Macaca fascicularis: one gene and its partner. The protein of the gene in region 2 purifies or fractionates together with the protein of the main gene of each other region. This does not show direct contact. Links are inferred from orthologs where the notes say so. Each region holds a gene or a part of one and is shown on either strand. Other genes may lie near its edges.

The links. Proteins that work in one complex are often made in the same cells at the same time.
Region 1: the proteins of COPS7A (region 2) and DCAF11 purify together in Homo sapiens (affinity purification with mass spectrometry; 3 studies listed by BioGRID and IntAct, counting the BioPlex papers as one, with this or other methods). This does not show direct contact. The link is inferred for Macaca fascicularis from reciprocal best matches to the Homo sapiens genes COPS7A and DCAF11.

The regions. Positions count from the first base shown.
Region 1 is NC_088381.1:91,936,477-91,940,058, reverse strand, and holds the end of DCAF11 (DDB1- and CUL4-associated factor 11), read right to left. Parts: intron 3,261-3,582; coding exon 3,108-3,260; intron 1,708-3,107; coding exon 1,601-1,707; intron 1,503-1,600; coding exon 1,368-1,502; 3' UTR 644-1,367; downstream 1-643. UniProt on the Homo sapiens protein: May function as a substrate receptor for CUL4-DDB1 E3 ubiquitin-protein ligase complex.
Region 2 is NC_088385.1:7,643,704-7,647,454, reverse strand, and holds the start of COPS7A (COP9 signalosome complex subunit 7a), read right to left. Parts: upstream 2,243-3,751; 5' UTR 2,136-2,242; exon of another isoform or gene 2,038-2,135; intron 1,673-2,037; 5' UTR 1,630-1,672; coding exon 1,468-1,629; intron 1-1,467.

The DNA of each region.
Region 1 (3,582 bases), on a different chromosome or scaffold from region 2:
CATGAGCTTTGGCTTCCCAAAGTGCTAGGATTACAGGTGTGAGCCACCACGCCTAGCCTGTTTATTCTTTTAAAACTGCCTATTTTGCCATGCAATAGGTACCCTTGCTGTGAAAGCCTGTGAACATCCCTGGATATGTGTACTATCATTTAAAAACTGCCTCAGAGGGCACGAAATGTTGTCGGGGAAGATCTATTCAGAGCTGGGTGTGAGCTCTAGCCCTCTCCCTGACTATCGGTTTGCTCTGGGGTATGAGGTTGAGTGTGAGGCGCCCACTGGGCCCTGGCATCAGGGCTGACTTGCTTCTCTCAGGCTCTGTGTTCATGGGCTACCTCTTCCAAAGACTGCACAGCTCCAGGCCCGGCTTCAGAGCAGAGGTGATGTGGTATTATCAGGCTCTGATGGAAAGTGTGCTCTCTCGGTATCTACTTGCAGGGAAGCTTCTGAAATTGGTGAGGGAGCACCTGTTGCAAGGCTCAGTGAACAAATGGTTTTGGTATTTCCCTTTTTCATGGGGCACCAGAAGGGTATTTTCTCCTACACAGGATCGCATCTGAAGACTGTTGAAACTGTGTTTTCCCGAAGTGAGATGGAAGATCTCAGATAGGAAAGAGACAGTGAGAGAGAGAGACAGACACTGAGCCAGGTTCCCACGCAGTTTATTGAGGGAGCCAAAGCCAGTGAGAGGACAAAGGAGTCCTACTTCAACCTACTTCCTTAAAGCTGTGTGCCTCGAGCATGAAGGGACCTTCTCAGAGGGCAGGACCTGCCCTATGAGGGGCCACACAGAGCCCTGTGGAGACTCCTACCTCTCATACCACAGCCCGTCCTACCCCAAAGACCCAGACATGAGAGCAGACATAATCCCCACCCCAGGAGGGTGCTGAGGAAACACCCTTACCCATGCCCCTCCCCTAGAGACCTCAGGAAGAAAGGCCAGGACACCTGTACTGTGTTTGGCCAGTCGAATCCTCAACGTGAAGACCTGGGCAACAGGCCTGGCTGACAGGTCTGTTCAGATGTGGCCTCAGACATCTACTCTAGAATCCAACCCCTAACACTCAAACATGATTAAAAACACCCAGGACACTTCTCTTGCTGGCAGAGGCCACACCCCAGATAATGGCAGTCCTGCCAAACTCTGGCCAGAGATAGGGACCCAGGCTGACTGGGTGTGAGCATGTAAGAAGACCACTCTGCCCCATGGGGAGGATCTTCCAGGGCTCAGCTGAGGCTCAGAGCCCGGGCTTCTGTTTCTCCCCATCCAATGCCAGTGATTCCTCCAAACATTCCCCACAAGGGAGAAAGGGAGGAGGAGGCAGAGAGCTTATCAAGAGGTTCACCCTGTATGGGGCTGGAGGTCGGATCTACTGGGGTGAGGAAAAGGCTGTAGAGGAGTGGGGCACTGGGGCAGGGGCGCTGGCACATTCCTCGGATTCTGGCATGTCATCCTGGAAGTACTCAGCCTGGCGGTACTGCCACAGACGCAGGTTCCCGTCCCACTGCAGGGCAGAGGGTGGCAAGTAGTCAGGAGGTGCTGCCCCCACCCCAAGTCCAAGCCCCAGACATGTGCCAGCACCCCCAACCCTTGCAACCTCACCGAACTGCTGACAATCTTCTCTTCAAAGGGGTGCCAACTGACATCACGCACACAGGCCTTGTGGTTCGTCAGCTTCTTCACAATGTGGCCACTGAGAAGGTCGTACACTGTCCAGGACAGGCAAGAGTGGAGAGGGACCACCACAAGACCTCTAAACTATCCCTCACCTCCCTGTGAGTAGCACCACTGACCTCTCAGGCAACTTCCCATGTTCCCATGGGAGCAAAGCCCACACGAGCAGACTGTGTTATTTCTGCTTCTATCCCTGTTCCTTTCCCTACCTTGGGTTGAGGGTGTGGTTTGTGTGGGTGTGGGTATTTCTGGCCCTTAGCTAAATTTCATAGGGGCTACAGTTAAGAAAATGCAGTGGCTTTAAAGATTTTAGTAAGATATGGAAGGCACCACAAAAGTGAACACCAAGCTGTCTGGGGGAGTGTGCACCTGCTGCACCTTGTCTGGACAGGGTGCATCTTTCTTTTGTTATGGGTCTGTGAGTGTCTCTCTGGGGATAGCACTGCCTTAGACTCCTTATATCTGCAGCTGTGCTTGTGGTTTTTTTCTTTCCTTTTCTTTTTCTTTTTTTTTTTTTTTTTTGAGACGGAGTCTCGCTCTTATTGCCCAGGCTGGAGTGCAGTGGCACGATCTCGGCTCACTGCAACCTCTGCCTCCCAGGTAGCTTGTGATTACTGGTGCCTGCCATCACCCCTGGCTAATTTTTGTATTTTTAATAGAGACGGGGCTTCACCATGTTGGCCAGGCTGGTCTCAAACCCCTAAGCTCAGGTGATCGCCTGCCTCAGCCTCCCAAAGTGCTGGGATTACAGGTGTGAGTCACTGTGCCCAACCTTTTTTTTTTTTGAGACAGTTTCTCACTCTGTCACCCAGGCTGAAGTGCGGTGGCACAATCATGGCTCACTGCAGGCTTGACCTCCTGGGCTCAGGTGATTCTCCCACCCTAGCTTCCCAAGTAGCTAGGACTACAGGCCTGTGCCACCACGTCCAGCCATTTTTTGTAGAGAAGAGGTTTCTCCATGTTGCCCTGGCTGGTCTCAAACTTCTAGGCTCAAGCGATCTGCCCTCATTGGCTTCCCAAAGCACTGGGATTATAGGCATGAGCCACTGCGCCCAGCTTATTTCTTTCTGTGCTTTTCTGCTTCAGCGATTGCATGTCCCTTTACTACTTGCTACCATCTTCCTGTGTCATTTTGTCTCTGTTCCCTCCTACCTTTCATCTGCAACCTCTTTCCTTGACTGGCTGAAAAACAGAACCAACTATATTTTTGGCAATCTATTATATTTACTGTCTAGAATTCTATGTTCCTTTTCTTAATTTAAAACACTGAAAAATAGAATGGTTTCTATTTCTCTGTTTAAGCCTCCAAGCTAAGTTAGATTTTACCTGTAGCCGTCACTGGGCTTTTTTAAGGTGGTCACTGGTCGTTATAGGTGGAACGGCAAGGAGTCATTCCTGCCCTTCCTGAGGCCCCCTGTTCTGACACAGTCCTTACCAACCACTTTGCCGGTGGAGCAGCCACTATAGATGAACTGCTGGCCGGTGCTATGAATGGGGGAGAACCGGCAGCGGATAAGGGTGTGCAGCACTCCGTGGCCCCGGTAGGTCATCAAGGAGCTGTCCCCTGGGAGCTTCAGCTTCCGCCAGGCTGGGTAGGGATGCAGAGTAAGCCCTAGGTTAGGGAATCTGCTTTGGGATTGTTTCGTACCAGCAGTCCTGAGCAAGGATCGATGCCCAGAGACAAATGCCTTTCCAACCTTCAAGTGGTGGCTCTTTCTCCACCTAATAGTCAGTGGACAGTCTCCAATATGGCCCTGCTGGTTAATCATTATACTCAAATACTTCGGTATTGTGGATTCTGAGTGACCCCCACCCAGGCCCCAATCCTAGGAACCTCTGGCCATTCCATTTGTGATTTAGCAAATAAAGAGTTAATGCCTGGTAAAGAGGGCTGAGGGGGAGATCCTCCA
Region 2 (3,751 bases):
ATTTTTAGTAGAGACGGGGTGTCACCGTGTTAGCTAGGATGGTCTCGATCTCCTGAACTCGTGATCCGCCCGTCTTGGCCTCCCAAAGTGCTGGGATTACAGGTTTGAGCCACCGCGCCCGGCCTTTTTTTTTTTTTTTTTTGAGACGGAGTCTCGCTCTGTCGCCCAGGCTGGAGTGCAGTGGCCGGATCTCAGCTCACTGCAAGCTCCGCCTCCCGGGTTTACGCCATTCTCCTGCCTCAGCCTCCCGAGTAGCTGGGACTACAGGCGCCGGCCACCTCGCCCGGCTAGTTTTTTGTATTTTTTAGTAGAGACGGGGTTTCACCGTGTTAGCCAGGATGGTCTCGATCTCCTGACCTCGTGACCCGCCCCTCTCGGCCTCCCAAAGTGCTGGGATTACAGGCTTGAGCCACTGCGCCCGGCCTCAGCTAATTTTTTGTATTTTTAGTAGAGATGGGGTTTCACCGTGTTAGACCGTCAGGATGGTCTCGATCTCCTGACCTTGTGATCCGCCTGCCTCAGCCTCCCAAAGTGCTGGGATTACAGGCGTGAGCCACTGCGCCCAGCCCTGTTTGTATTTTTAATAGAGACAGGGTTCTGCCATATTGGTTTCACCTCCTGACCTCAGGTGATCCACCTGCCTTGGCCTTCCAAAGTGCTGGGATTACAGGCGTGAGCCACTGCACCAGGCCAAGTGCTTCTTTTTCATCACCTTGATGGATACTCTTTAGTTCCACTGCAGATGAAAGCAGGGAAAAGTCAGCCAGTTTTCACCATATCACAGAGTGATCCAAAAGGTTAAACCACAGGCCCCACATAACTTAGCTCAGTTTACCCACATATCACTGTCAGCATGTCAGGACTCAGGCTGCCTCCTCTGTAAATTAACTCTGCCACTTTTGTGTGAATGGTTCTCTCTGCTGTGTTCCTAGTGTTTGCCATGTGTCTTTGGGAAAAAGACACATTCTCCCTTAGCTACCTTGAACAGATTAGCATATGCTGCACATAGGGAAGAATAGGGCATGCTAATTTAACATGTTCACTACCCACTTGTACCAGACTTTACACTTTCCCATAATCTCACTTTATTCCCACAACAGAGGGGGCAGTATTGTCTCCATTTTTAAAAAAGAGAGCTCAGGCCCTAAAACAAAAGTGACCTGATCAAGGTGACATGAGAATTAACAGCTATTACGCTGGTGGAGACGGGCTGGAAATCAGATTTCCTATTCTGAATAACATGCTCTTTTGCTTAAAATGAAAAACAGTGGACTTTACAGATCCTTTATCTCCAAAGGAAAGCTGGTTTGCTTGTTTACTGGTTACTTTTGCAAGTTGGCATTTAATCATCACTGTTTTCTTGTTCAACTGAATGGTATGGGATCACAAATTGAGCCCTGCCCACCCATTCTCAAATTCAAACCTTTGCCCATGCTTCTCTGTGGACTATTCAAGCCAGCAACCCACCTCTCTAACATTGGGCATGTCCAGCAGTTCTCCAAACACGTAGACACCAGGGGCCTCCAGCACCTGATGGATGAGTGTGGCCAGCGCTGCCCCCTTGGCCGACTTGGCTAGGAGCAGAAATTGCTCCTGGTTCTGCCCTGTCACCTTCACTTCCGCACTCATGACTGCACTGAGCTGGGGGCACCTGGGCTCAGGATGTCCAGAGCTGCAAGGAAAGAGAATGTGAAGCTAGAGATCCCCGATGGCTGGTAGGATGGGAAGCACAAGGCTGAAGGACTGGATTGTTATAGGTACTAAGTCGGTTCTGCGGTGAGGAATCACACATGGAGCGGTCTAGAATTCTGATCTACAAATCCTAAAGTCAGCCACTTCACAAGGCTGCCACACCCACCCCCTCCCCCGAGCCTAACCCCAAGCCCCATCATGTGCACCGCCACTGAACCCCAAGACAGGATGCAACGGAGAAAGGGGTGTCGCATGGTATCCACACTAACGACGACGCTCCCTCAGTTCTCCACTCCTGCCCCGCACGCGCCCACAACCACGTGACCTCACCCCAATGAAGCTTACACGTGGCTCCGCCCCCTCCCTTAAAGACACCGCCCAGCGACCGTGGGCTCCCGCCGACTGCTTCGTCGTACCCTGGGTCAGGCTCTGCGGGCCGCTACCTGGAAGCTTCGCCCTCCAGCGCACCGGGCGGGGCCGCCGCTCCGTCACCTCCGGCAGCTGTTCCAAGCCTTTCCTGCCACCTCCCTGAAGAGTCGCTCTGGCCACTAAACTCTATGGCGGGCTTCCGGCCGTACTTCCGCTCTAAGGACGCAAATTTCGGCAGGACATGCCCCGCCCCCGCGTTCCAACCGCTGAAGCTCCAGTGAGGGACGCAAGCATTCTACTCTCCGATTGGTCGCCGGGGGAAGAATGACGGGCGCCTTTTTAAATACTGTATTTCAATAAAACTTTATTAGTGGAAGATCGCTAGCCACTAAACACAGACGTCTTTGGCGGGTCCCCTGGTCTCGGCCGACTCTGTGTTTGTTCTAAGCCGCTGGAGAGCTGGAGATCAGGACTGCCCTGGGTGCCTGAGGCAAGAGAAAAGCTGTAATGGAATGAGTGAAGAAGCGGGAAAAAAACGGGATGGGGGAGTAAGGGGCAGAGAGGAAGTAAACAATAATCAATAATAGAAGTTTAGCAGCAGAGATCACCTAGGTCGTTCAACCACTCACTTTTTTGAAGAGCAGGAGAAAAGAAGTGAGAAGAGTAAAAGATAATAATTGCTAACATGTATTGAGTGCTTACTATTGGTCAGACATCTTTTAAAATTTTATTCCGTTGAATCCTCACAAATATTCCCAGTGTGACTTCAGGACACCCTCTACCATGATTACTATATATGTATTAATACTTGTAGAATGATGCTTTCAGTACATGGACTCTTAGTTTCTTGGGGCGGAAAAACCCCTATGTTACTCATTTTACAGAAAAGGAAATTGAGACTCATAAAAATCCAAGGATTTATCTGGAGCTTTTCAAACTCAAAACCATCTTTCTACTTCAACATACTTTAATAAAAACAAAAACAACTAACATTTATATAGTGTTTTATATTTCACAGCAGGCTTGCAGAAGGTCAAGTGAGGGTAAAGTTAATGACATCTTGGCCTTTGTGTTAAGCTACGAGCATTACTTAATTCATCTGATACAACAATCTAGTAATTGTTATCTCCACTTTCCAGATGGAAAAACTGAGACTCAGGAAAATTAAGAAACTTATAAGTAATGGAAAGACAAGAAAGTGAAAAAGAGAAAGATAAAGAGAAATAGAACTCGTAGTCTGTTAGGGCTAAAGGAACTGCAGATGCAGTTTATGGTCCACATATTTTGGTTTGTAATAGAAAATAAGCAGAAACACAGAAAGGAAAGGGAAAGGAGGAAGAGGAGAAGAAGAAATGAATGGAAAAGGTGAAACAAAAGTGAGAAGGAATCAAAGGCATAATAAAATATTAAAACTTTGAAGGAACCAAGGAATTAATGAGTCCAAACTTATTTTTTTTTTTGCATCCACCCCTCCCCGCCCAAGCTTATCTTTTCTTTTTTATTTTTTTTTTGAGCCAGGATTTCGCTCTTGCCACCCAGGCTGGAGTACAATGGCACAGTCTTGGCCCACTGAACCTCTGCCTCTTGGGCTCAAATGATTCTCCTGCTTTGGCCTCCCGAGTAGCTGGAATTATAGGCGTGCGCCACCATCTCCGGTTAATTTTTGTATTTTTAGTAGAGATGGGGTCCA